Coturnix japonica: one gene and its partners. The protein of the gene in region 4 purifies or fractionates together with the protein of the main gene of each other region. This does not show direct contact. Links are inferred from orthologs where the notes say so. Each region holds a gene or a part of one and is shown on either strand. Other genes may lie near its edges.

Region 1 (3,500 bases), on a different chromosome or scaffold from region 4:
ACCAGACCAGGCTGCTCAGAGCCACATCCAGCCTGGCCTCAAATGCCTCCAGGGATGGCATTTGCCTCCTTTATTGACCTACATTTGATTTCAGATGGAACATTTCAGTATTTTTAAAAGATATATGGGTAACAACCATTTGCCTGTGCAAATATTTTCACTTAAAGGATGAGCTGGTGGATTTTTGTTGGGTTTGGGTTTTGTTTAGTTTATTTATTCACTAATTTTTACCTTGAAATGGAGCAAGACAGCTGCTACTTCTCTCATTCTGGATATTTCGCCTCTCCGCTGCGCACTGGTAAACTCCTGAATTAGCTGGCACTCTAAGTCATGGTATTTACCTGGAAGGGAACAGAGGAAAAAAGGTTAAAAAAAAATTAGAAGTAATCCATGAAGCTATCTAATACAAGCACTGGCAAAAATGGTAATACTGACAGTACTGCATATTTCTTTAATCAGCTTTTACGATATATGGGAATATGGATTGAACTGGATGGATAACTTACTTGCTATCTTTGATTTTACTTCAGAAAACCTGTTAACATCAAAAAAATACCATGATTAATTTCAAATCCACATCACAAGAGAAATCAGACATCCCAGAGTGCCTGTTACTCATGATCTATTTAAAAAGGAATATACATAACACAGAGACGACAGAAAAGTTACATACTTCATATCCATAAGAACCTACGAGCATCTAATCCAAATCTAGCATTAAGTCAGCACACCAAAATTATCCCATTAAAAGTCTGTTAAGCAGTTCAGGATGTGTATGTAAAGATGATCCTACAACATGAGTATGCAAACACAAATTCAGGAATAGATGGTGCACTTATTTCTCTCAAAAACTACAGGAATCATAGAGTGAAACAAAGCCCCTTCCCATCCCATCCCATCCCTTCCCTGCTGTCCCCCTTATTCCCCTCCAAAAAAACCCCAGCATTATAAAATTACAGCTACGCGAAGTTGTGGATTTTTTTTTCTGCTATGTTATTTTAAAGAGAAGTTCAGGTAGAATTTTACCTGTCAAAAGGCAGTTCCTGAGCAATCAAATGCAGTTTTTGAATAATATCAGCTGCCTCTTTAATCTGTTATGAGTAAAAACATGACAGCCAATTATTAAAGAAGATCTGAACATGGCCTATTCCTTTCTTTCATCTCTACTGCTCAGCTTTCACACCATAGTCTATATTCCTTTTAGATGATATACCATGTAGGAGATCACTTTCCTGCAATATGCATTTTAAGATGCTTAAGATATTAATTAACATACAAATTACACTGGTCAAAACATGATAAAAATTCTTCTGCTATATGTTCATGTGGGGCACAACTCTACAAGTCCTTAAGCTCATCACCATACCAGGCCAATATGGCTTGCAGACCAGAGTTCCTTATTTAATCATCCCAGGTAATGTGGCTTGAGCAAGCATGTTTCAAGTATGCACCTTTCCATATTGTAGTAAAACAAACAACCATAACATATAGATGGCTGAACTGCAACATGATATTTTGTGATGAATTAGGATAAAAGTCATTTATTTGGCAAATGGCATGGACTGGCCCAAAGCATGACTGTGAGACAGATGTAAAGAGTTCTACTATTTGATCTTAGCAACTGGAAGGCACCTTGAAGGGAGTAAGGAAAACTGACTACTATACCCAGGCAAAGCCTTCATACCAGTAGACATAACAGAAAGTATAAAGAACATGCAATTTGTCTTGCTTTTCCTGTTAGCCATGTAGACAGAACTAGAGCAAGAGGAACAGAAGCACTGAGATCCTATTCTGCTACCGCTGATGAGAGGCTTGGGATTCAAACTTTGCAAGAACAGAAGATGCACAGGTAGGAAAACAGAGCACAGTCACTGCACGAGGCTGGCTGTGCGGCAGAAATAGAGGCTTTAATAAAGTGTAGTCATTCTGCTTATTAAGAGCAGCTTATGTTTGGAACTGTCAGCTCACAATAGCCTCTTAAATCAAAAGCAGCCACGCTCCTCAAATAAATCCAATGAAACAGCAGTTATTTCTATTAGGTATTAAGGCTGCTTCAAGCTAACTAACAATTCTGCTCAGTATTGATGTCGTCAGGATAGCCTATGTATCAGCACTTATTCACCAGCATCACCTAAAAAGAAGCCCAAAAGAAAGGTAAATAAAGAGCAAACAAAAACATCAGCAAGCAAACACAACATCTTCTGTCTTCTTTTCACACAATAGCTGCTAACTAACTTCTTAGATTTTTATTGAATTCACAGCCTTTTCTTAAGCACAACAGAAGCCAGGACGAATCAATTCTCCATGGTTTCTGCTTAAACCCAGAGATATTTCATTTTTAATTGAATCAGGCTTCTGTAAACCATTAAGTCAAAATAAATACTGAATCTGTACGACACAACTTAAAGGCTATAATGCATCTGAGGAAGCGGACAAAACAGCAAAGGAAAATCTTAATAGAATCGGTATGAAGAAGCTGAAAGGCGTAATGGAACAATAGTGAGTACAGAACTAACGCAGAAGAGGGTGCAAGAATAATAGTGAATGTTGAACATAATGATACTGTTGCATGATAAATAAGTGAGTTGCTACATCGTTCTTTAATTGATTTGCTCACTTTAAGACACTTCAGTGCAAAAGAGGGACTGGTTAGTTGGCAGAGCAAGGCAAGTGGTAACAGCTTGGAGGATGAAGACACACACACAGCATATATAGCTTAGGACAAGACAGCCAAGAAAAGCCATCACAGAGATAAGCTGGAAATTGCTCAGTATATCAAGGACAAAGTAACGTGGGAAACAACAACTTTCAGTGTAAGGAAAAACAATAAAAGTGGTAAGAACCCAACAGATTATAAGACCTGACACTGCCGAGAAAAACACCAATTCCTGCAGAAATAATTGCACTGCAACTCCTTGCCTCCCTTTCTCAGTATCCCTTGCCCTTAATGGCTTAGAGAGAAGCCCACGCTTTCATAAAGGGTGGCACAGAACAAGAAATCACAATGAAAGCCCAGATCAGCTCAAAAATCAGAGGATGCTGCCAAAATATTAACATTTTGCCTCTCAGAATATTTATTACTATCTCATACTTCAGAAATGCTTTTAGTTCAAAGATGTATTAAGATATCATGCCTCACACCCAGGAAGGCTCCTTATAAACACTATTTCTACTTGCTATTTAAATGTGTGCCCCCCCACACCTCATATGCAGACTGACATCAGACTTCCAGACCTTACTGCATTCCTCTCCTCTTCCAGATTTGCTTTATGTCCTCAGGGCACATCAAGATTAATTTGTTTAACAATTTCCAGGCTTATCATATTTATCTACCACAGATTTTTTTTCAGAGCTTCCAACAGAAAATATTACAAAAATCAAGTTAAATTCCTTATGAGACTCTTCTTGCTTACAGATGGACACTACTACTGCAATTTATTTCCATTAGCCAGACCACTCAGATTCTATTTGCTTCACAAACACACTTCTGAAGCAAAAGG
Region 2 (4,098 bases), on a different chromosome or scaffold from region 4:
TCTCTCATTGTTCCTCAGGCAGATGCCGTGTGACTATTTAACTAAAGCTAGAGGGAAGAGTCAGTAAGGAGCTGTATATTCATCCACTGAGATATTACAGCCTATAATATACCTTGTGCAGCTCTCACCTCCAGGGGAAAAAAAAAAAAACCAAAACATGTGGGAAATGACATTTCCTTGCCATGATGTTTTTTATAGCGCTTACGTTCTTTGAGGTTTTATGAAAGATATTTCCAACTAATGTCTCAATCTAGGCCTGGACTGGCAAAACTGAGAAACTGATTCTCCTTTCTGTTTTCTCCCTCATTGCTTTTTATCTGCTTTCCATTCTGATTTCATTTGCACTTGGCTTTCGCAACCAACCTCCAAACAATTCCAGCAGAAAGGGAAAAAGGATGTCTCCTTTCCAAAAGGAAGAAGAGCCTCTGTTCAGAGGTGCCTCATGCAGACAGATGGTCTGATAAGAAATCACCCCATGTTTTCAGTGGGAAACCAGCACGAATTTGCACGACCAAGCTTTGCCCATGCTGCCTGCCTACCGCCAGCTCTTGTAACAGCTGCGTCCTGTTTCTGTGCAGCCCTGCAGCGGTGCCGGAAAGACACTACCCAGGGGGTCGGGCTGCTGGGGAACAACCTGAAATAAAAGCTGAGCCAAGAAATGGAATTGCACAGCTTTGCTTTGCTCCATTTCTGAAGAAAAGTTAGTCTCCTTTTTGTACAGATGACGTGAAAAACATTGCAATCGTCCTCCACCCAACAGTGAGCCTGATGGGTGAGAATACCCATTGGTGTTGCCCATGTGGCATTGCAGGCATTTTAGGGAATGAGCAGCTCTAACCCCAAGCATACTCAGGGCCAGCACACCTGCATCTGAGGGGCAGCAGGAGAACCAACACTTGAAATTTCAACACCAAACCCTCCATGCCACAGATACAGGAGAGGTGTGACGATCATTTAGAGGCCCCACAACCAGGCCTGTAGGACACAAGCAATGCTTCTGGGAGACAGGAGATGGTAGGAACCTGTCCTTCCGACTCAAGGGCACAGTGCCTTCCTCTTGCACCACCACGCACCCCCGCACCATCCTGTGCTGCATCACAAGAGCGTGGAGTTTATTATTATTTATTACGATTGCCGTTGCTGCTGCTACCAATATTACTTCAGTAGAAGAGCTTCGTACTGCCCCACTTCCGAGCTTCTACGAGCAGACGCTCCCAACCCGAGGGAGGCCGCCTACTCCGCCTCTTGCGCCTTCATTAGGCGGGGCCCGCAGCTCGGCCGCCCCTTCTCGATGTCTCCACACTCCATCGATGTCTTCGGGCGGCGGCTGCCGGTGCCTGCTCCCGCCGGACGCGGAGGCGCTGCCGGGAGCGGCGCTGCCCCAGGTGCCGGATACGAGCGCGGCGGCGGCGGCGGCCGGTGAGTGACAGCGAGCGGCCTCCCGCCCCTCCCTTCCTCCGCCGGGCGCTGCGGAGCCGGCTCCCAGCGGGGCAGCCCCGGTCCTCCCCCATTGCGCTGGGGCGGAGACCGTCCCCATCCCGGGGGGGAGACCGAGGCGCTCTCCCGCCCCGCCCCTAGTCCGGGAGGGATTCGGGGCGGCTGTTTGCGGGCCGTGGGGCTCCGTGCTGTGCTGGGGGGCAGGTAGTGCCATATGGGACCGGCCTTGCTGGTTACCGTGAGGTGGTTCCGCGTGTGCTGAGGGCTGTGCAGGAAGTAGGCCGGGAGAGGCACGGGCGCTTAAAACTTCGCTTACTGTGTCCAGGTGTGGAGCCCTCAGTACAAGAAAGTCATAGAGATTTTGGAAAGGGTCCAGAGGAGGGTCACGAAGATGACCAGGGGGCTGGAGCACCTCCCTATGAGGACAGGCTGAGGGAGTTGGGTTTGTTCAGCCTGGAGAAGAGAAGGTTGCGGGGTGACCTCATTGCAGCCTTTCAATACCTGAAGGGAACTTACTCCCAGGAGGGGAGTAAACTCTTCGAAAGGGCTGACAATAGCAGGACACGGGGAAATGGTTTTAAGTTAAAAGAGGGAAGATTTAGGTTGGATGTTAGGGGGAAGTTGTTCACTAGGAGAGTGGTTAGGCCCTGGAACAGGCTGCCCAGGGAGGTTGTGGATGCCCCGTCCTTGGAGGTGTTCAAGGCCAGGTTGGACGGGGCCCTGGGCAACCCGATGTAGTAAATGTGTATGTTTGGTGGCCCTGCTAGGCAGGGGGGTTGGAACTACATGATCCTTGAGGTCCCTTCCAACCCGGGTCATTCTGTGATTCTGTGTGATTAAAATGAACTGCAACGCGGTTTCTCATTGAGGGGAACAGCCTGGACGTGGGGATGGTTGCATTTCCAATAGGGACCCTGACATTCTGTCCCGGCTTTCAAAATAGCGCTTCTTCCAAGCTGTTGCCTTTTCTCCCTCTTTTATATATTTCTTTGGCGTTTCCTACCACCTGTGTCTTGTTTGCTCCTTAGATGAACAGCTTCTAACACAAACACTCAAACGCTTTGAATTCACATCCAGCGAAGCAATAAGCCCTCCTAGTCTGGCAGAACATCAGGTCAAGTCTAAGCTGTTAACGCCCATTCAAAGAATAATAGACGGTCTGGGTTGAAAAGGACCATAATGTTCATCTAGTTTCAAACCCTCTGATACGTGATGTAGTTTAAAATTCTAATCTCACATTGTTTTTCCTCGTTTTCTGATTGCAAACGCTTCCCCCCCTCCTTAAGACCTGTATGTATTTCACTGCACCGGGGTTTTCTTTTTCCTTTTGATGGAGTGTTCAAACCATTAGAAATCACTAGAAATTCAGTTAGAATCACTGAATGGCTTCCTTTGGAAGGGACCTTAATGATCATCCAGTTCCAGCCCTCTCCCGTGGGCAGGGCTGACACCCAATAGTTTCTGAGGTTTGTTTTTTTTTTGGCTGTCGTTTTTTAATTATAAACTGCAAGTGAAACTTGTCACCTTTACATCCAACCTGCTTTGCTTGCTTTATTTTTACTCCCCTGAAGAAAAGCTTTGTAATTCTTAGCTCCCTATCGCCGTAGTGTCTGTCACAGCTTGCACTGACCCAGCAAGGAGCAGCCGAAAGCTGCTGCTTTCTTTCCCATGGATCGCTTAGTTTACAGGGTTTGTGATTTATGCCCACCCTTGGACAACAGTGTTTTTACTTAACCGGGGGTTCTGTTGTTTTAAACAGGATGCAATGATTTTCGTTATACTAGTGTGATTTATTTCACAGAAAATGGCATTAATTTAACTTCTGGTGGCAAGTCGGGTTGTTGGTTTTTTTTTTCCCTGTATGGAAAATTTAATTTTTCTTAGTGTTTATCAGAGGTGAAGCAGTTGGATGTTTTTGGACCTGTGATATTCAGGTCTTAGTGTTTTGAGTTGTAGGATTCCTCATGCTGAGAATATTTGAGGTAAAAAAAACCACACACATATTAAAGATGTTAAAATGTGATTCACCAGTAGTTTCCCAAGGTCCCATGAAATAGCATCCACTGATACGGTCTGTTCATGATGCTACTCCTCAAAGTGAAACTGCACTGAAGCACATTAAGTGGTAGACAAGAAACAGAGGCCACTGACCTCTTTTAGCGATGAAAGCTTGAGATATGTTATGTTAAACCCTACTTAATCAATTTCTGTCAGTTTGATATGGCTGGCTGTAAATCCAGAAAGTCTTGAGCATTGTACTTGAAACTAATCATCAGTTGTGTGTTACTTTTGATTCTCTTCATCTGGGCTTTTCTGCTTTCCCTTTGAATCCATTTAAGGGAGGCGAAAAGAGCAAGACCTGAATAGCATGATCACAGAAGTGTGTATTTAAAAGTTATTTTTGAACATACAGGCTCTGACAGCCACCGAATGAAAGAATACATGAATTAAACTATGCTTTTATTCTCCAGAACGAGGCAAGCCCGTGAAGCACAAGTGGATATTTATTACCTGTCTGTGCATTAGTTTAATTATGCAAAAAAGGCGCATGAATGTTTTGCATGGAAGAAATCAGTAGTACTTCAGTTCAGAATGAAGAACTGGTAAATAATGCTCAAAAGATTGCATGTATTACTCTGAATTTATCTTCCGCGGGGGCTT
Region 3 (3,500 bases), on a different chromosome or scaffold from region 4:
ATCAACCATATTTTCCTGGGACGTTCCCCTTACTTTTAAAACACAGTAAATGTTGTTCATAGCTACCAGGATTTCCTCTTTGGCTTCTCATAACAGGCAAAAACAAACCCGTGACAGCTCAGGCCTTTTGACCTTACATGTACAGCCAAAGTTATGGCCAGTGCTGAGCTAAACTGTGTGTGCCTCGTTCCTTTACAGTTTGCTTCAAGTCCTTGAGTTCAGCAATGGAATTTTCACTGCTGCCTTTGGTTTTGGCTTGTCTTTTGAACTCTGTTATTTCCAGTTTCATTATCTCCTGTCTGATTTCATTTTAGTTGCATATTTAAGTAGATAGCTACCTAAAACATGGATGTGGTCTGATTTCTTTCATGTGCTTTGTAACACATGTTAGTAATGTGTCAAGACTTTGAAACGATATTCAGGAGTAATGGCCCATTTGAAGAATCAAGTACTACCTGTCACAAGAGAGAGCCATATCAACAGCCTTGCCGTATGTCATAACAATCTAGTAGTCGCCTTGTCAATCTGCTTGTTTTACATGGACCGAATATTACTTACAGTGCATTATGATTAATGTGAGAGTTCTTTCTTTGTCTTTTTGCTTGCGTTTAAGGCAGCAATCCAGTCGCAGCTGGATGGAGTCCGGACGGGTTTAAGTCAACTGCACAATGCACTGAATGATGTAAAGGACATCCAGCAGTCTTTGATAGATGTCAATAAAGACTGGAGACAGAGCATCAACACCATTGAAAACCTCAAGGACGTTAAGGATGCTGTGGTCCAGCACAGCCAGCTGGCAGCTGCTGTGGAAAATCTCAAAAACATCTTTTCAGGTAGTTTGCTGTTCTTTATATAATCCATCGCAGTCTTAAAGCATTTCAAAGGGGTACAAGATACAGATGAAGGTACAGAAGATTCCCTACAAGTCTTTCTCACACAGCAGTTAAGAACCTCGAGGATGATTTGTGTTTCTACTTGAAGTAACATCCAGCTAACGGCAATGAATGTTTGTATGTTCCAGTGTTAATTTGTTTCAGGGATGTTGCTATAATTTACTGACACAAATGCAGTTGAGACCTGAATGCAGCCTTTTGTTTCCTAGTATCCTGCCAGACTTTGAGTGTGAAGTGTTTCCCCTGAGATTGTTACAAAGTAGAGTCGATGGTAACTTCCCACTCAGGGAACCAAATGTTTTTTTACAACGAGTCAAATGATTTTCACCATAATTAATGATTGTAATTGTCTTAGTGAGCCTTTTGTTTAATTGGATTGCCAGTATTTAGCACTGCCTGTCATTCTTGTGGCGACATTTCCTGCAAGTATTTTTTGTTCTTCTTGCCACTGAATCCTAATCCAATTCTGTATTGTTCCTTAAATCATAGAATCATAGAATTACCCAGGCTGGAAAAGACTTTGAAGATCAAGTCCAACTGCAGCCTAACCAGTACCCTAACTCTAACAACCCTACACTAATCTAATCTAAATACTGAATGTTGTTTTCCCATTTGTTTCCGAGCACTCATAATGTCTTGAGTTTATCTTTGGCATTTTGATCTATTTCCCCCTCTTTTTTCCTTTTTGCCTTCGTTGCAGTTCCAGAGATAGTGAGGGAGACTCAAGATCTGATTGAGCGAGGGGAACTTCTGCAAGCTCATCGAAAGCTGATGGATTTGGAGTGTTCTCGCGATAACCTGATGTATGAGCAGTATCGCATGGACAGCAAAAACACGCACGACATGAACCTCATCCATACGTACTTTGGGGATATGCAGAAACTTTCTGAGGAGCTGGCCAAGCAGTTGTGGATGGTAGTTCAGAGATCTCTCGTTACGGTTCGTCGAGATCCGACCTTGCTTGTTTCTGTTGTTAGGATAATTGAAAGGGAAGAAAAAATCGACAGGCGCATGTTAGACCGGAAAAAACAGACTGGGTTCATTCCTCCTGGCAGGCCAAAGAAATGGAAGGAGAAAATGTTCAACATTTTGGAAAGAACTGTCAGCATACGAATCGAAGGCACTCAAGCGGATACTAGAGAATCTGACAAAATGTGGCTTGTGCGCCATCTAGAAATCATACGGAAATACGTCCTCGATGACCTTCTAGTGGCTAAAACCCTGCTGGATCAATGCTTTCCCCCACATTATGACATTTTCAAACGATTGCTAAACATGTACCATCAGGCTTTGTCCACCCGCATGCAGGAGCTCGCTGCAGAGGATCTGGAAGCAAATGAGATTGTTAGCCTTCTCACTTGGGTTTTAAATACTTACAAAAGGTAAAGTCCCACTTACCTTTCTGCGAGAAAAGTTGAGGATAAGCATATACCACACAGTCTGTGTACCAATAATTGTGTGTCTGTTAACAGAAGATAAAGAAGTGGCGCAGTGGTAGGAATGCCGCGTTGCAACACTGGAGGCCTGGGTTCGAATCCCCCTGTGGCGCAAGTGGTAGAAGTGCCGCTCTGCTACACAGGAGGCTCGAATCCCAGAGGTTGGACTCGATGATCTCTAAGGTCCCTTCCAACCCACATGAGACTGTGATACTGTGAAGATACAGCTGTTTATACATAAAAAAGAAGTGGAATGATAGTAAAGGACTGTTGAGATTTGTTAATGCCTTTTACTTTCTTGAGGCTACTCAAGACTTCTCCAGGTTTTCTAGCACATGGTTTTAAGTTGCTTTATAAGCTTGAGGCTTTAAACGCAGTTCCAGACCACTGTGGAGCTGCTGTCAGCCTCAGTGTGTTTGTGCAGCACTCGGTGAAGAACTGGGGAGAGCAGAGGAGATGAAAAGCTTGTGTGTGTGAAGCAAAATGTTTTTCATTGGGCACAGCCCCAGTATATGAGTGTGATTGTTTGCTTTCTATTGTTCTCCTTTGCAGAGCGTGGGACTGTTGAAGTATTGCTTCATGTCTGTTAAATGGAAAGAATGTAGTTACTTCCTCCAGATTTTATCTTGGAACCTCACAACAGTTTATTTCTTTAGGAGAATTTCTGCCCATAGGTTCTCTCCTGCGATACTGTCAGACTCTTCATGTCTCTCCTGTGATACTGTCAGACTCTTAGTGTCTTTTGAGTGCTGTGATATGTTGAAGTAATGTAAGGATTGGGTCCGTCCCGTTGTTCTCCTGATAGAGCAGCTCAAAAGGCAGCGTTTTAATGTTAGCCGACACATAGTTACTAGGCAACTGATTTATTTGGGAAAAAGTGCTGCTCGCTTGTTGTGCTTTATGACTAACCTTCTTCTCAATAGCTGGCAGTGACCCAGAGTCTGCACCATGTGTGCTTTTTGCCGTCTTCAGTTATTTGATCTCACTGTTTCAACAGATGGAGCTCTTGGTAGGTTTAGAGTATAGCACCGTTCAGCAAATAGGTTGGAACTACTGGAACTGCTGTCCCAGGGCATTTTTATAACCTGTTTTAAGATGTGTTTTGGCTTACTCTGCTTTGCTTCATGCTGTGACATTCTTCTGCTTTTCTTCCCTATAGTGAACACCCAGG
Region 4 (4,294 bases):
CAACCTAAATCTTCCCTCTTTCAACTTAAAACCATTTCCCCGTGTCCTGCTATTGTCAGCCCTTTCGAAGAGTTTACTCCCCTCCTGGGAATAAGTTCCCTTCAGGTATTGAAAGGCTGCAATGAGGTCACCCCGCAACCTTCTCTTCTCCAGGTTAAACAAGCCCAACTCCCTCAGCCTGTCCTCATAGGGGACGTGCTCCAGGGTAAGCATTACATGTAATTTAAAAACTAAGCTTGAAATGTTTTATCTTTTTCATTCATCTCTGCACTGATCTCATCTTTATACGTCATAAAAACACAACATTTATTCTACCTGTGAGATCATTAACTCTGCTTCCATATAACACTGAGTGATGGTCCACAATAATTATTCTATGTGTGAAGTTGTTAATTCTACTCCAGTGCAATGCTGAGTGTCCTTGCAATAAGAAGAAACAATCCTGAAGCTCGTCAGACCTCTAAGGAGGTCACACCCCCACGAACAAAGAGCTACATGTAAGGAGGCTGAAATTACAGCACCTCTGTTCATTAAGCAAACCTGAGCATTCATAATATCTGAGTCACCATATGTATGAACTCCAGTATGAAACATAAGATGTGGGAGGTGAGGTGCCATCTGTTTCATGTTTCACAGAATCACAGAATTGTAGGGGTTGGAAGGGACCTCTAGAGATCATCGAGTCCAACCCCCCTGCCAAAGCAGGCTCCCTACACCATGTCACACAGGCAGGTGTCCAGGCGGGTCTTGAATATCTCCAGAGAAGGAGACTCCACCACCTCCCTGGGCAGCCTGTTCCATTGAACAGTTCCAGTTTGGATATGTCAGCAGCCTTCGTGTACCTCAACCAGGTCCTTCCTCGGCCTTAACTTCAGGAGCGGCTCACTCAGGCGGATAGAACACATCCCGCTGTTCCCTTCGTATTTACACACTCCAGCGCAGCTGAAAGAGACCAGGGAACAAAACATCGTAAGCGATGCTCTTATTATGTATAGTCAGCTGAGAACTGTCACAGAGCGGCTCAATACTGAGCAGCCCCCCTCCAAACGAGAGGAGGGTGCAGAACCCCATCAGCAGCACCCGGGGGCTCCCAGCCCCACCTCCCCCCTCACCCCCCCATGTCGTACAGGGTCATGCGCGGGCTCCACGACACCTCCACGGCCGCCAGCCGCCCCCAGAAGAGCGCCTGGTTGAACTGCACGAACAGGCCGTGCACGTCGGGGCTGGGATCCAGCAGCTCCCAGGCTTCATCCACCACCGACAGCGGACGGAGGGACAAGGGGTCCGGCGAGGCCTCTACACGAGCCGGCGCCGCCTCCTCCTCCGCCTCCCACAGCTCCTGGAGCTGCAGCGCCAGAGCGAAGTCATCCTCCTCCTGCTGCTGCTGCCACTCTCGTTCCACACCCGCCGTCAGTCCCCGTGCGGCCATGACTGCGCCAACCAGCTCCGTTGAGCTGCGCATGCACACCCCGCACTGACGCACTCATTGTGCGCCGCGCTTCCCCGCCCGCCCCTTCCTCCTCCCAAGGTGTCGGTGTCGGTGTCGGTGTCGGTGTGTGTGAGCATGGCGCTGGCGCTGGGGGAGGGCGGCGGTGGCAGCCGGCTGCGGCGGCAGCTGGAGTCGGGGGGCTTCGCGGCGGCGGAGTACGTGAAGCAGCTGTCGCAGCAGTCGGATGGAGACCGGGATCTGCAGGAGCACCGGCAGCGCATCCAAGCGCTGCAAGAAGAGACGGCGCAGAGCTTGAAGCGCAACGTCTACCAGAATTACCGGCAGTTCATCGAGACGGCGAGAGAGATCAGCTATCTGGAGAGCGAGATGTACCAGCTCAGCCACATCCTCACCGAGCAGAAGGGCATCATGGAGGCCGTCACGCAGGCCCTGCTCCTCCAAGCCGACCGCGACGACCCCGCCCTGGGCGCCCGCCGCGCCGCCGCCGCCGCCGACCCCTTCCTGCCGCTGTCGGCCAAGGAGGCCGCGGCCAGCGAGGAGGGCCGGCAGCGGACGCTCACCACCCTGCTGGAGAAAGTGGAGGGATGCCGCGACCTGCTGCCCGAGAGCCCCGGCAAGTACCTGGTGTACAACGGCGACCTGCTGGAGTACGACGCCGACCACATGGCGCAGATCCAGCGGGTGCACGCCTTCCTGATGAATGACTGCCTGCTGGTGGCCACCGCGCTGCCCAACCGCCGCGGTGCCTACCGCTACGATGCCCTGTACCCCCTCGAAGGGCTGGCCGTGGTCAACGTCAAGGACAACCCGCCCATGAAGGACATGTTCAAGCTGCTCATGTTCCCCGAGAGCCGCATCTTCCAGGCCGAGAACGCCAAGATCAAGAAGGAGTGGCTGGAAGTGCTGGAGGAGACCAAGCGCAACCGAGCCCTGAGCGAGAAGCGACGCCTGGAGCAGGAGGCCCTGCCCCGGCCCGCCCCGACACCTCCTGAGTCCACCAACCCCTTCGAGGAGGAGGACGAGGAGGAAGAAGAGCCCTCCGTTGAGGAGGAGGTGGTCGACCTCTCGCTTGAGTGGATCCAGGAGCTGCCGGAGGACCTGGACGTTTGCATCGCTCAGCGGGACTTTGAAGGGGCTGTGGACCTGCTCGATAAACTCAACGAGTACTTGGGAGACAAGCCTGTGAGCCAGCCCGTGAAGGAGTTGCGGGCCAAGGTGGATGAGCGGGTCCGGCAGCTTACGGACGTGCTGGTCTTTGAGCTGTCTCCGGACCGCTCGCTGCGAGGAGGACCACGGGCCACACGCCGAGCCGTGTCCCAGCTTATTCGCTTGGGCCAGTCCACCAAGGCGTGTGAGCTCTTCCTGAAGAACCGGGCGGCCGCGGTGCACACAGCCATCCGACAGCTGCGCATTGAAGGTGCCACGCTGCTTTACATCCATAAACTCTGCCACGTCTTTTTCACCAGCCTCCTAGAGACGGCCAGAGAGTTTGAGACAGACTTCGCTGGCAACAACGGCTGCTACTCTGCCTTCGTTGTGTGGGCCCGCTCTTCCATGAGGATGTTTGTGGATGCCTTTAGTAAGCAAGTGTTTGACAGTAAGGAGAGCTTGTCAACTGCAGCGGAGTGCGTGAAGGTAAGAGTGCCCATGGTGGCCTGAACAAAGCTTGTAGATCTTCATTTCTAACCCCAGCATAGTTGACTGAGTGCAGCTCTGGAAGGGTTTTCTGAATTAAACTGTTCGTATTCATTTGGAGTTGGTTTATTTTTCTTAAGTTTAACCAACAAAACATTAAGATGAAAATACACAGCAAGAAAAACCCTGCCCTTACCAGAAATGCAGAAAATGTTCTTCCTTAATTTGCTTTTAACTTTCTCAGTAATAAGTAGTTTCTTGAGGCAGAACTGAACCAGGACTAACCTATCCCTGCTTTCTGATGCACGCCCCCTTTATATTTGCTGTGTTTAGTCAACTTACCAACTTACACTTTGTTTTTCCTTAATACCCAAGGTAGCTAAAGAGCACTGCAAGCAGCTCAGCGACATTGGACTGGATCTCACCTTCATCATCCACGCCCTTCTGGTAAAGGATATCAAAGGTGCTTTGCAGAGCTACAAGGATATCATCATCGAGGCCACCAAGCACCGCAACTCTGAGGAGATGTGGAGAAGGATGAACCTGATGACTCCGGAGGCTCTGGGGAAACTCAGGGAGGAGATGAAGAGCTGTGGCGTAGGCAGTTTTGACCAATACACTGGTGATGACTGCTGGGTCAACCTTAGCTACACTGTAGTAGCTTTCACTAAGCAGACTATGGCCTTCTTGGAGGAAGCGTTAAAGCTTTACTTTCCAGAGCTGCATATGGTTCTTTTGGAGAGCCTTGTGGAAATCATCCTAGTGGCTGTCCAGCATGTTGATTACAGTTTACGGTGTGAACAGGACCCTGAGAAGAAAGCATTCATTAGGCAGAATGCATCCTTCCTTTATGAAACTGTCCTTCCTGTTGTGGAAAAAAGATTTGAGGAGGGAGTTGGAAAGCCAGCCAAGCAGCTACAGGATCTCAGAAATGCTTCAAGGTTGATGCGTATAAATCCAGAAAGTACCACCTCTGTGGTGTGAACGAGCAGTTCTTACGAACGGGGTGTGAAAGCACTTAGTGAAAATGTTGTACATTGCATATATGAACCAAATGGGTTTTTTGAGTTCCTAGAAAATGTGGAAGTCTGGTTGCGGGATTGCAGAGAATGAAGTTACAATCAAGGGCTTCAAGGGTTCAACACTTCTGTTTTTTGGGGGGGTGGGTGCAGGAAAGTGAGAGGTAGCAATTGAGATCACGTGTCCTTG
Region 5 (3,055 bases), on a different chromosome or scaffold from region 4:
AGAAATTTTCAACCGAGAAAGTGTTGCAAAAATATGATGGAAATTCTCCATCATCACCACATCTCTGGGTGTTTTCTGGCTTTCATTAGCTACTTTTTCAACTAAAAGATAAGGGAAACAAAATATTTAGAACTCCTAAAGGGCAACCAAATTCGGAAGAAAACATAACTGATGAAAAGAAAAAAGTAAGGGATTCTATCACAGTGATAACCATGTGTATGAACGATAATCATAACAGTCACTAAATAAATATTCGAGGGCTTTCAAAAGAAGCATCAGATACATGCAGGCTTTTACTTTTAACCCTCCCAAGTAAAACAGAGCAGGTGTAAGAAATTCTACTTATTGACCCCCTACTGCATCTGCATGCATGCAGGCCAAGGAGACGATGGTTAGAATGCAGATTAATGCAGAATTAATCTAAGAATGCAATTAAACCTCTATGCCCGCTCATCCATCATTTCATTGAGACTATGAAGTAGGAAAACCACCATGAAAAATATTTATGAAGCATACTCCTGGGCACCAAGGTACGAGTCAATATCATCAATTCATTTCAGTTAGATCACTGAAGCACCAATCCCCATCATAATTACTTGTTGAAGCTCATGCTGTACTAGTCAATTATTTTTTTTTCTAAGTTCAACTGAAATCCTTTTAAATTTCTTTTAAAACGTACTTTCCTGAATTCTTCCTACAGTAGTACTTCTATCAATGTATGGTTTGACTGTTAGCGTCTGCCTGGTTTCATCACTTGAACAATCAATTCTAAAGTACTGAATAGTTGGACGCAATCAATGTTGTTAAAATTCACTGCCCTACTAACTTCTACTGACTCTTTATGAACTGTAGTCCACTATATTGTGAAATGATGCATCTTCACAACCTCCTAATGTTCAGAACTCCTGTGCTAGTTTCCTCAAACAAGCTTTATTGCCAGAACTCTTCCCTCTTCCTCAACCTCCCTCAGGGAAAAAGGCAAGTCTCAGTGATTGGGAAGTACTACAGGTCGAGCTGTTTCAAAGGATGTACATAAATCAACATGGAGAGGCCTCTCTGTTGTTTAAAAGGTTATGACCATTTTTCTGGCATTTCACTTCTTTTACTTCACCTTCATCTATTTCTTTTTTGTTAATAACAAGGAGAACAAGACTGTTCTGGTTTTCCAGATCAGAGCTGGAAAAACAGGAAGGGATGGGAGAGGCATTCTACTATGTCAGGAGGACCTCATCTGCTATGATATGGTCAAATTCATAGCCAGAACACAAGGCTACATTAGAACTGAATGAGACAACACAGCACTGAGAAGCTGTACAGCATTAGAATGAAATGACAGGGATTCCATCCTGTCTCATCTCCTCATTTAAGCCAGACTGGTGCAGAAAAGCCAGAAAACCACTTGAGACTTTGGCCTGTAGTGTTGCAGTTCTCTCCCCCCTCCTTCCTGTATCCTTAACCACTTCCCCTGTCATAACCGAAAGTTACTTTGTATATATGTGTTAAGGGAAATATCTACAGTTTGCTTTTAAATATTTCATTTTATCAAAATGTTTCAACTTGCTTCTATAAATTAGGTTGTTTTTTTTTTAACATCAGTGCAATGTTGGTCATGTGGTTTACAATATAGAGTCTTAAAAAAAAAAACATTATCAATTAAACAGAGCAGAATACACCTACACAGGAGGAATTAATAAGTATTACGAAATGGGAAGACCTACCGCTGATAAAAACAGCTCTAATAAGTTTTATATATGCTTTGTCCAGATCTCCTCGTCGTTCTGCATTTTTGAAAATTGATTCAGCAAGGGCTGCAAACTCTTCAAATTCAGCAACAAATGGAAGGATCCCGACTTTACTTTTCTTTGAGATTTTTACTTCATCCATCTGCTTCATTTGATTGCTCTTGAATTGAAACACAGAAGTTATTCTCTACAATACAGTTCCAGACCATAACTAGTAATAACCATAACTAGTAATAGAAAAAAAGTAAACATACTGAAAAAGTAACATGCGTCTAATCAGGGAGATCATTTTATCTTTTAATTATTGTATCTTCACAAATTTGTTAACAGTAAAAACTGTGAAGAAAGAAAGGCAAGTAAAATCTTCAAGACTGAAGTTTATAATCTTCAAGTTTTTATCTTCCTCTGCTTGCTTATTTAGCATTAAGAAAAAAAAATACCACAAACAATGAATCCACAACTTATTCACCAGAAGCAATTAACAAATTATATTTAAGACTTCCATTCCACAACTTCACTTTTCAGCATCAACCCAGCAAATGATTCATTTGGCCACAGAAAGCTTCTTTAATCTCCTGTTGAAATTTTGTTTTTAAGAATAAGCTAAAAAATAATAACTTCCAAGTATCTCAAGCATTCCTCTGACAATGAATGATCAGTGTTACCAAAGTGGCCTGGAGTCAAATGACACTTACAACAATAATAGCAAAAGCAACAGTCACACAAACAAGTATTTGTACTAAGGCTGCCTTATTAAGAATAGCAAACTTTCTCCGTGGCAGAAACTGGCAAATATGTTGGTAGTAGGAGAGAAGTCTTAATGTTTCACAAAAATCTGCGTTTTGTTTAATGATAAAAATACCTGAATGCAAGGAATAAATGTCTATTCAGTATATTACAAAGATTCTGATTTTCCCTTAAGTCTGTGAGGTTGTTTTGGATTGTTTTGGAATGTAAAAAAAAAAAAAAAAAAAAAGTCAGAGCACTATTGATTTTACTTGATTGACTTCAGTAAAAGTTTAAAACAATTACAAAAGTCAGCCAGCTCACATAACTGAAATGTTGAGGACAAGAGGTTGTACGTCCTATGGATAGCTCATCCTTCAGGTAAACTGGGATGGAAAGGGAAGAGGGAAACAACTGCCAATTACTATTTTTTAATAAATATTTTTTAATAAAAAAAGTTTGTCCAATGTAACTGTAGTGCAGACACTCATTTTTGCTTCAAATTAAAACAAAAAGTCTTAAAATCCTAAAATCAAATTGAATAGGTGCAGGCTTCCTAAAGTAATAGAGTTATCTTAAACAGAAAA
Region 6 (3,500 bases), on a different chromosome or scaffold from region 4:
CAGCTACCAACTGGATCAGCTCAGACCTGAAAGAAGAACAGAAAACATGAGGAAGCACACGAACCAGCTGCTATCAGCAAGATCTGTGCCTTTTTACTCTAAAGGGACCTTGAAATGCACAAACTGGGTGACAGGAGCTGCTCCAAGTTGCTTTCCAAAGCAACACTGTCAATCCTCTCAAGATGAAAGGATTCTCTGCAACATAAGGCATCTCTGATGGTTGCATCTCCCACTCTTATGTAATGCAATGCTTATCCATAGGGCTAAGGTTTCAAAAGGGCAGCTTCAAGAATTCAGTACAGGAGAGTTGGGGCAGACGTGCAGGTAAATGCACTCAATACACCAAAGTCTGTTTGAAAACTGCACTTAGCATCAGCCTAATTCAGAGAGATGAACTCCAGTACTACATACTTACTTCTCCAGAGATTTCAGAATGTAGTTGTAGTTGTTGTGCAGAAAAATGGCACTCAAAGCTGGGTCTTCATAAACCTTGGATTTACTAAGAAGGTTAAGCTGCAAGTTGCCCAGCACTTTGCCTTAAAGAGGGAACAACAGAGGATGAAGACTTTTGCAGTGAGACTTCTTGTAACTGATAATTCAAAGAGTACTTTGAGCTGTTCCTGGGAATCCACAACAAAGCAAATAGCACAGCCTCAACCAAATTTGCAGACAGGGGTACAACAAGCTTTACACAGATCTTTCCTCAGCAGGTCACTAAAACGTCCTAGTGAATGAGTGCTTGGTTGCAGATGGCAACACAGACTCAGAATAAGGTCCAGCATGGGTGATCAGAACCAGCCTCACCACAACAGAGGTTTGTCACAGGGAACCTGACAGACCTGATCACTGTTAGAACAGATCACCACAGGGCAGTACTGTGAACTCATCTGAAGCTTTCACTGTTAAACAGAAAACTGAGATTTTACAGAGACCTTCCTGAAGTTCAGCAGGACTAACAGCCCAAAGAACAGTGGGAAAATAGTTTAAGGCAACTGGTGATAAAAGCAAACTTAAATTCTTCATTGTACTTTGTCTTGTCTAATTGTAACAGGACAAAACACCCAGCCTGACTATTTCTATCCAATCTCCGAATAATACCCCAGCTCAAGCACAGAAAGATCACACAGGGTGAAGAGCTTAAGAAGTCAAGTGAAAAAACAGCCCATGCAGATGTGGGAAGGTTTGCAGTGTACTCACAGATGTAGGTACTCAGCAGCCTCCTGCTGAACTCCGAGCTATAACTGCTAGCTGAAGAACTGGTCTCTGGAAAGAAAAAAGTCTCAGGCCAGTTAACATGCCATGGGAAAGAGGAGGGCATATGTGGTCAGCCTGAGTCTATGCAGACAAGCCCCTTCCCTGTTGCTATGGAATTAGTGCTGAGCTCCTATCAACAGTGAAATCAGCTCCCTATTTCAGTGATGATTGTCAGTGGATTATCCAAGGTGAGGATGATCCTTGCATCTGCATCAGGTGCTGAGCACCCTGGCAGAAACCATTCCCTAGTGCTCAGAGGATACCCTCCATCTTCTTGATTAGAAGCACATCCTCCCCATCCTTCCCCCACCATCTAAAACGGGGTTTTAAGCAACAGCAATGTGCAGGCAGAGAGCAAAGGAGCTGGAGCTGCTAACAGCAGGCATACAACAGTAACTGAAACAAGCAAAAGAGCTCTGGAAAGTTTCAGCCATCCCCACAGTCGTCAACAAGGCCTGACTGGCTCTGTACAAGAGACCACACCAGCATGAACACCTGCTCGTGGGCAAGCAGTGACTGTGGGCTGGTATGTGTCCCTCTGTCTGTGCACTAGAGGGATGGCTTTCTGCCCCTGAGGGCCTGTGGGCTTGGAACATACAGGGCAGCTATCTCCTCCTTCCCCACCAGAGAGCCTGGCAGCCAAGCCTCGGTCGGGTGGTCTGAGTTAGTAAGCAACCCCTGGGAAAGGCCTCAGGGCTCCTGTTGCCAGGAGTTGGACAATGAGGAACCAAGCACACATGGGATAAGGCATGACACCAGCTGGGCCAATTTGCTACCCATGCCAAACAGACTCAGTGCCATGAGAGTGCCTTTAGCCTGTTTCAGCTCATGTGGCATCCCTCTTTGTCTGCAGGTGACAAGCCCTATTCTCTCCAGCTCATTGGCAAGAGTTACTTACCCTCCCCTCCCCTTTTTCCCTTTTCAATTATGTGTCTCTCTTTTTTTTTTTTTCCCCTTTTATGTGTTAATTTATTTATCACTCCCAGAGAACAAAGAATTAACGTACATCACAAGTGTCCAAGGCAATAAGTGGGTATGTGAGGGTAAGTCTGCTTACCTCTGGGATCTAAAGGAATATTGTATGTGTCCCCAAGAACTAAAAGGATTAAGGCAGAGCAGAGAGAAAAAGGGGAGGGAGGAGAGAGAAAAAGAAACGCAAAGTGCAAAAACACAGGTTAGAGACCACCTTCCCTTTGAGAACTAAGCAGATATTAACACAGAGCAGCCACAGACAGTTACACAAGAGAGCAGGCAGGAATCCCTCCAAGGCCACAAATGAAGCTGGAAATGGTGGAGAAAAGGCTGAGTCTAACTTCCTTCCCCTGCTAGAGACATGGTTTGTATTGTCATTGTTTGCATTTAGCAAGACACCTCACTCCAAGCCACTTCAAGCTAACTTTGGAGACAAAAGAAAGCCTTCTCACACAACAGCAGCACTTTACTGGTCCTTGAAATGCACTGCACAGCCCATGTAACCTTTCCAAGAAGCTACATAAAACCATCCCACCCTACCTCTGTGTGGTTATATAGGGCCCCCCTGAGTGGCTCTGCAGGCAGTAAAAGCATCAGATTGGAGTCACTGCATTTAACTGGTAAACTTTGCTTTTGTTGTTACTACTTGAAGGGAACATTGCAGAAAAAAAAATGCATTTCCCATCATTTGGGATTGCTACGAGACTTTTCAAACTCAACTCCAGACATCCACATCTGTGCAAGCAACTGGAAGGTGTCATTAGAGAAGCACCTTTGGGTGCAATTCACCATCCCAAAGCAGATGCCTCTATTAACAGAAGTGAACATTCCCAAATTTCTCTGATCTGATAATGCTCTGTCTAGAATGACATCAGGTCACCTGAGCAGGAACTACAACTTGACCAAAACTCAGTAACCAGAGTGAAATTCAAAATGAGGACAGCCTTGCCATGCACTGATGTCCTGTGCTGTGCTCCAGTTCTGCACCTCACCAGCCTGCTCTGTTCTTACCTATCTGAAAGCATGAGCTCTGTCTAGGCCAAGGGCTCACTGCAGAGCTGAGAGCTGCTGTTCTGCACAGAACCAAGAGTCAAGCTCTAGCTGACAAGCAGCAGCATCTTCAGCATCACTGCATGAGGCCAGTGCTCTCAGCTTTCAATATATGTACTTCCTTCTGGAACTAGTTTCTTTAGCGACCTCAAGAGCAGAGCTAAAACTTTTCTCACCTGAGCATGAATAGCTCTCAGGAGTCCCAACCTGACAGTGGCTGGACA
Region 7 (4,118 bases), on a different chromosome or scaffold from region 4:
TTCTGTGATTCTGTGAAGAAAGGACTATGCTCAAAAAGCTATAAAGTTGTTGGACATGAGATTAGCCCGAACATTGGTACTATTTGTTTAAACAGGTTTTCAAGGATTGTACATCTTTATGCACCAGTTTATTCAGAGAGGATACAGTTCAGAATTGCATGTCTAAGCAGGTTTTTCTGTAGATGCAGTTGCTCTTTTGTGCTTCAGGCTACATTTTCATTCTCTCGTGACAACATAACTAGCAGTCGCTCTTCTTTCTGTGGGGCAGTACCTTTACAATGCTCCATTTACTGAAGCTATAGATATTATTAAGTGGAAATGCTGTTGAAAGTATGAACAACAGCATTGCTGCATTCCCATCAGTGAGACTGCTGTGTGTTCTAAGTGCATTCCTTATCCTTTTTCTTTTTCAGAGATCTCTGAGTATATTTTTAAAGTTCAGGATTACTATAGGCAAAATATACGCAGCTGATATCTGAAGCTACATCTGAACAAAAAAAGACTAAAAGAGTCCTAAGCATGGAAGACTTTGGAAAATCATAGTAAGATAGAATCACAGAATGGCCTGGATTGAAAAGGACCACAGTGATCATCCAGTTCCACCCCCCATGCTATGTGCAGGGTCTCCAAACACCAGACCAGGCTGCCCAGAGCCACATCCAGCCTGGCCTTGAATGCCTCTAGGGTTGGGACATCCACAAACTCCTTGGGCAACCTGTTCCAGTGCGTCACCACCCTCTGGGTGAAAAACCTTCTCCTAATATGTAACCTAAACATCTCCTGTCTCAGTTTTAAACCATTTCCCCATGTCATGTCACTGTACACCCTCGTAAACAGCTGTCCCCCCTCCTGTTTATATGCTCCCTTCAAGTATTGGAAGGCCACAATGAGGTCTCCCCAGACATAATAATACAACGTGCAACTGAGAATATTTATTTCAATCATTCAAGGAATTTGCTCAAGTTTAGAGTCAGGTCTGGTATGATGATTAAAGCACGGGGCAGGGAACCTGAAGACATAAATTCTATTTTCAGCATTAGCACTGACTCAAAGTGTGATATTAGTCAAGTCACTTAATTTAACTGCCTCACTCTCCATCTCACCTGTAAAATGAGGGAACCAACCTCACACATTCTTTCTGAGATTAATTAAATGTTTGCTGCATACCTAAAAGTTCTTGGATGTAAAGTGGTGGAAAATTTATTATTAAACACACTTATAAACAGGATACAGGAGCAGAGCTGGGTGGTTTCTATAAAGGAAGCTCACTTTTCTTTCATCTCTGAATTTTTTAGGCATGACAACAAAACAATTAACAACAGGAAAAACTGTGGGTGGAGCCCTTGAGAAGAGTTTATAAATTGAAAATAAAAAGCATACAAACAAACTAGACACTGACTAAACTGCAACTAATAAGAAAAATATATGATTCTCTCTTCAATTAAAGACAAAGGTGGCTTTTTCTCTTATGAGAATGCAGCTGAGGTGATATAAGGCAACAGTTTCTACTGCTGTTGTTCTGTGACCCCAGAAATGAAACAATCAAAACCACAATGTGCAAAGAGAAATGGATAGTATAGAGCAATCAACGACATATTCACAAGTTACATGTTTCTTGTAATGCTGCTTGTACCAAACACTGTTTGGGGAAAGGATGCAGTTTATTTGCCTTTTCCTAAAGCCAGTTGTTGTTATTTTTATATTCCTAAACATCACTGCTGCTTTCTGTAGGTTCCACTCAAAACAGAGTGAGGCCAGTAGGTAAACCAGTATCTTAAACCTCTCACCAAGCTCTGATATGATGTGGTTTGTTACTTTAGTATGGACAAGTGCCCCCTGGGGTTTCCATTCTTTTAAAAGCAACCTTTCAGATTAAGAAATAAATTCTATGACATAATTTGGTAAATAGGAATGTAAGTGGATCATTTACTTTTATTGTAACATTTCTACAATGTAAATTCCAGAACATACTAACCTACTCGTACACTAATTGATCATAAATATATATTTAATATAGCTAATACATCTCTACTCAGCATGGCAGAGACATCCAGACAAAACTTTGGTCCCTCCACCGGGAGTGGCAGAACCTTTCCATTAAATCCTCCATTCTCTCTGCATTGCAGAGCAAAGGTTATGAAGTTTTATTAAAAGAAATCAATGACTCACTATTCATGTGTTTACTTGGCCTGTATGCCCCAAGGATGAGTGGGAACCAGCATAGAAGACTGGTTCTTTTATTCTCTTCGTATATTGCTTATTACTAGCTAGCTCTACTGCATTCATTAAGGCAAACCAGACTAAGAATAAACAAGAGGTGCTTGTCATCCAGCCTTAACACAATGCCACGTGCTCACTCTGAAGCTTCTTCTGCATAAATTTCAGCATCTGTTTTTTCCTGTCTTACCCACAGCAGGTAGGCTCACAGGGTGCATGCACCTTGTCCTATTCCTGCACCTTGCCCCTATTGTGAGCCAGTCCGTGTACCCCAAGAGCCCTCCCCATTGCTGCTCTCCTTTTCTCACTCCAGCTGGGCCAGGAAACAGCTTGTGCTTCTCACCTCAGTGTTGGAAAATGCGAGTTCTCGTTTCACGTGTGTTTGTGTCACTGACTGCACACATACACAAACACAGAGCTGATCCTTCTCCAGCACCACCTCACAAGCTATTTAGACCATCTTCTTTCATAGCTGATACTCACCGTGCCAAAGGAGCCTGTCCCAGAGCCGTGGTTCCCCAGGGAGCAGCAGGCAGGGGATGGCAGGAGCAGATCCAGTGTTCTGAGCAGGGTAACGCTGGCCAGGGCCGGACTCCTCCTCTTGCTTTGCAGAGCTGTGCAAAAAGGGAAGGGCTCAGGATATGATATCATGTGCTCATTGTGAAAACAAAGAAACTGCTGTAGGTGAATGAAGAAGTAACAGCTTCAAAACTCCTGAATGGCCAATAACAGAGAATGACATTCCTGCTTTGCCTTCCCAACCCTCTCTCAAAACAGTTTCAATGAATAGAAATGACAAATTTAGAAAACAATATTTACCTCATTGCTAGGAGTAGCCTGAGAGATGTATTACAAATGAGCCACCTTGGAGCGCTGCTCTGTTCCCTCTATGGTCTGTGTGTATGTGACATCTCAAGCCTTGACCTTGCTAAACACAGATTTGCACACTGTCAGCTCCCACAGCCACTGCCGGGAGTGCATAACCAGCATAAACTCAAGAGCATCCACTCCTTGGCATTTCCCTGACTTCTATATTGTCTTTTCCAGTGAAAGTAATATCACCTAAAACACCCAAGTGACTTAGGACTCCATTTAACATTTTCTAAGGGAATGTAAGCAAAAAGGCTTGCAAATCTCATGGGAAGTGAATGTGATTTTGTGTTGGGATAAGTTTTACTCCTTGGTCCCCTTCTAATTGCAAGCTTACTTCAGAAATAATTACCCATCTACTGGGCTGTATTGCTATTAATTTATTTCCCAGGTCATCATTTACTTCCCAAGCCTAAAGAAAAGAAATTAGTAAACACTCAAAGCAAAGCAGATGTCCTACCTTGACACTATTGTTCTTAACCTGAATTTATCTTTGAAATCAGCAGTTTCTATTTCAGATCTGAAGAAGCACCCACATGCCTGAAAGCTTATTGGTTTTGTCCGGTTTTATCAAGTGACTAATACAGAATATTTTCTCAGGTTGCCAGGGTACTTTTGTTTCTGTTACAGCCTCACAAAACACTATGAGGGGTAAACTTACTGCATTCTTCAAGCACACGACATTTTTACGTCATATTTGGAATTGCTAAATACTCTGTTAGGCCGTTGCAATTGCCTTTCAGATTTCCATTTTTGTGTTAAAAAAAATCCTGTGATATTTTCATGCAGTTAATTCCAAGTTCAGCATTAAGATCATCCATCGTAGGTCACTGTCATTTTCAAGCTCCTGCACTGACTTTTGGTTTAACAGCCTACCTTTGGGGGTTCTGTGTTTCAGTGTTTGTTGGGTGAACACTTTTATGGAGCTGCACACCAGGGTGTTGCCCTTTCAGCTGTATTGTATTACATTGGAACAGAAATATTTTGCTGCCAGATTTCTTGTTCTATTTGTGCATTTTCTTAGTGGACTT

The links.
Region 1: the proteins of EXOC8 (region 4) and EXOC5 purify together in Homo sapiens (affinity purification with mass spectrometry; 5 studies listed by BioGRID and IntAct, counting the BioPlex papers as one, with this or other methods). This does not show direct contact. The link is inferred for Coturnix japonica from reciprocal best matches to the Homo sapiens genes EXOC8 and EXOC5.
Region 2: the proteins of EXOC8 (region 4) and EXOC2 purify together in Homo sapiens (affinity purification with mass spectrometry; 7 studies listed by BioGRID and IntAct, counting the BioPlex papers as one, with this or other methods). This does not show direct contact. The link is inferred for Coturnix japonica from reciprocal best matches to the Homo sapiens genes EXOC8 and EXOC2.
Region 3: the proteins of EXOC8 (region 4) and EXOC3 purify together in Homo sapiens (affinity purification with mass spectrometry; 5 studies listed by BioGRID and IntAct, counting the BioPlex papers as one, with this or other methods). This does not show direct contact. The link is inferred for Coturnix japonica from reciprocal best matches to the Homo sapiens genes EXOC8 and EXOC3.
Region 5: the proteins of EXOC8 (region 4) and EXOC1 purify together in Homo sapiens (affinity purification with mass spectrometry; 3 studies listed by BioGRID and IntAct, counting the BioPlex papers as one, with this or other methods). This does not show direct contact. The link is inferred for Coturnix japonica from reciprocal best matches to the Homo sapiens genes EXOC8 and EXOC1.
Region 6: the proteins of EXOC8 (region 4) and EXOC7 purify together in Homo sapiens (affinity purification with mass spectrometry; 4 studies listed by BioGRID and IntAct, counting the BioPlex papers as one, with this or other methods). This does not show direct contact. The link is inferred for Coturnix japonica from reciprocal best matches to the Homo sapiens genes EXOC8 and EXOC7.
Region 7: the proteins of EXOC8 (region 4) and RALB purify together in Homo sapiens (affinity purification with western blotting; 6 studies listed by BioGRID and IntAct, counting the BioPlex papers as one, with this or other methods). This does not show direct contact. The link is inferred for Coturnix japonica from reciprocal best matches to the Homo sapiens genes EXOC8 and RALB.

The regions. Positions count from the first base shown.
Region 1 is NC_029520.1:50,516,155-50,519,654, reverse strand, and holds part of EXOC5 (exocyst complex component 5), read right to left. Parts: intron 1,092-3,500; coding exon 1,027-1,091; intron 536-1,026; coding exon 507-535; intron 342-506; coding exon 232-341; intron 1-231. UniProt on the Homo sapiens protein: Component of the exocyst complex involved in the docking of exocytic vesicles with fusion sites on the plasma membrane.
Region 2 is NC_029517.1:61,951,771-61,955,868, forward strand, and holds the start of EXOC2 (exocyst complex component 2), read left to right. Parts: upstream 1-1,298; 5' UTR 1,299-1,419; intron 1,420-1,620; exon of another isoform or gene 1,621-1,641; intron 1,642-1,672; exon of another isoform or gene 1,673-1,762; intron 1,763-4,098. UniProt on the Homo sapiens protein: Component of the exocyst complex involved in the docking of exocytic vesicles with fusion sites on the plasma membrane.
Region 3 is NC_029517.1:80,091,863-80,095,362, forward strand, and holds part of EXOC3 (exocyst complex component 3), read left to right. Parts: intron 1-613; coding exon 614-833; intron 834-1,593; coding exon 1,594-2,275; intron 2,276-3,500. UniProt on the Homo sapiens protein: Component of the exocyst complex involved in the docking of exocytic vesicles with fusion sites on the plasma membrane.
Region 4 is NC_029518.1:35,755,087-35,759,380, forward strand, and holds the start of EXOC8 (exocyst complex component 8), read left to right. Parts: upstream 1-1,494; 5' UTR 1,495-1,564; coding exon 1,565-3,085; intron 3,086-3,460; coding exon 3,461-4,069; 3' UTR 4,070-4,294. Other genes in the region: SPRTN (sprT-like domain-containing protein Spartan), read right to left, coding at 843-942, 1,128-1,462. UniProt on the Homo sapiens protein: Component of the exocyst complex involved in the docking of exocytic vesicles with fusion sites on the plasma membrane.
Region 5 is NC_029519.1:58,587,710-58,590,764, forward strand, and holds part of EXOC1 (exocyst complex component 1), read right to left. Parts: intron 1,903-3,055; coding exon 1,719-1,902; intron 102-1,718; coding exon 1-101.
Region 6 is NC_029533.1:3,933,592-3,937,091, reverse strand, and holds part of EXOC7 (exocyst complex component 7), read right to left. Parts: intron 2,351-3,500; coding exon 2,312-2,350; intron 1,264-2,311; coding exon 1,198-1,263; intron 537-1,197; coding exon 416-536; intron 27-415; coding exon 1-26. UniProt on the Homo sapiens protein: Component of the exocyst complex involved in the docking of exocytic vesicles with fusion sites on the plasma membrane.
Region 7 is NC_029522.1:21,413,456-21,417,573, forward strand, and holds the start of RALB (ras-related protein Ral-B), read right to left. Parts: upstream 2,801-4,118; 5' UTR 2,701-2,800; intron 1-2,700. UniProt on the Homo sapiens protein: Multifunctional GTPase involved in a variety of cellular processes including gene expression, cell migration, cell proliferation, oncogenic transformation and membrane trafficking.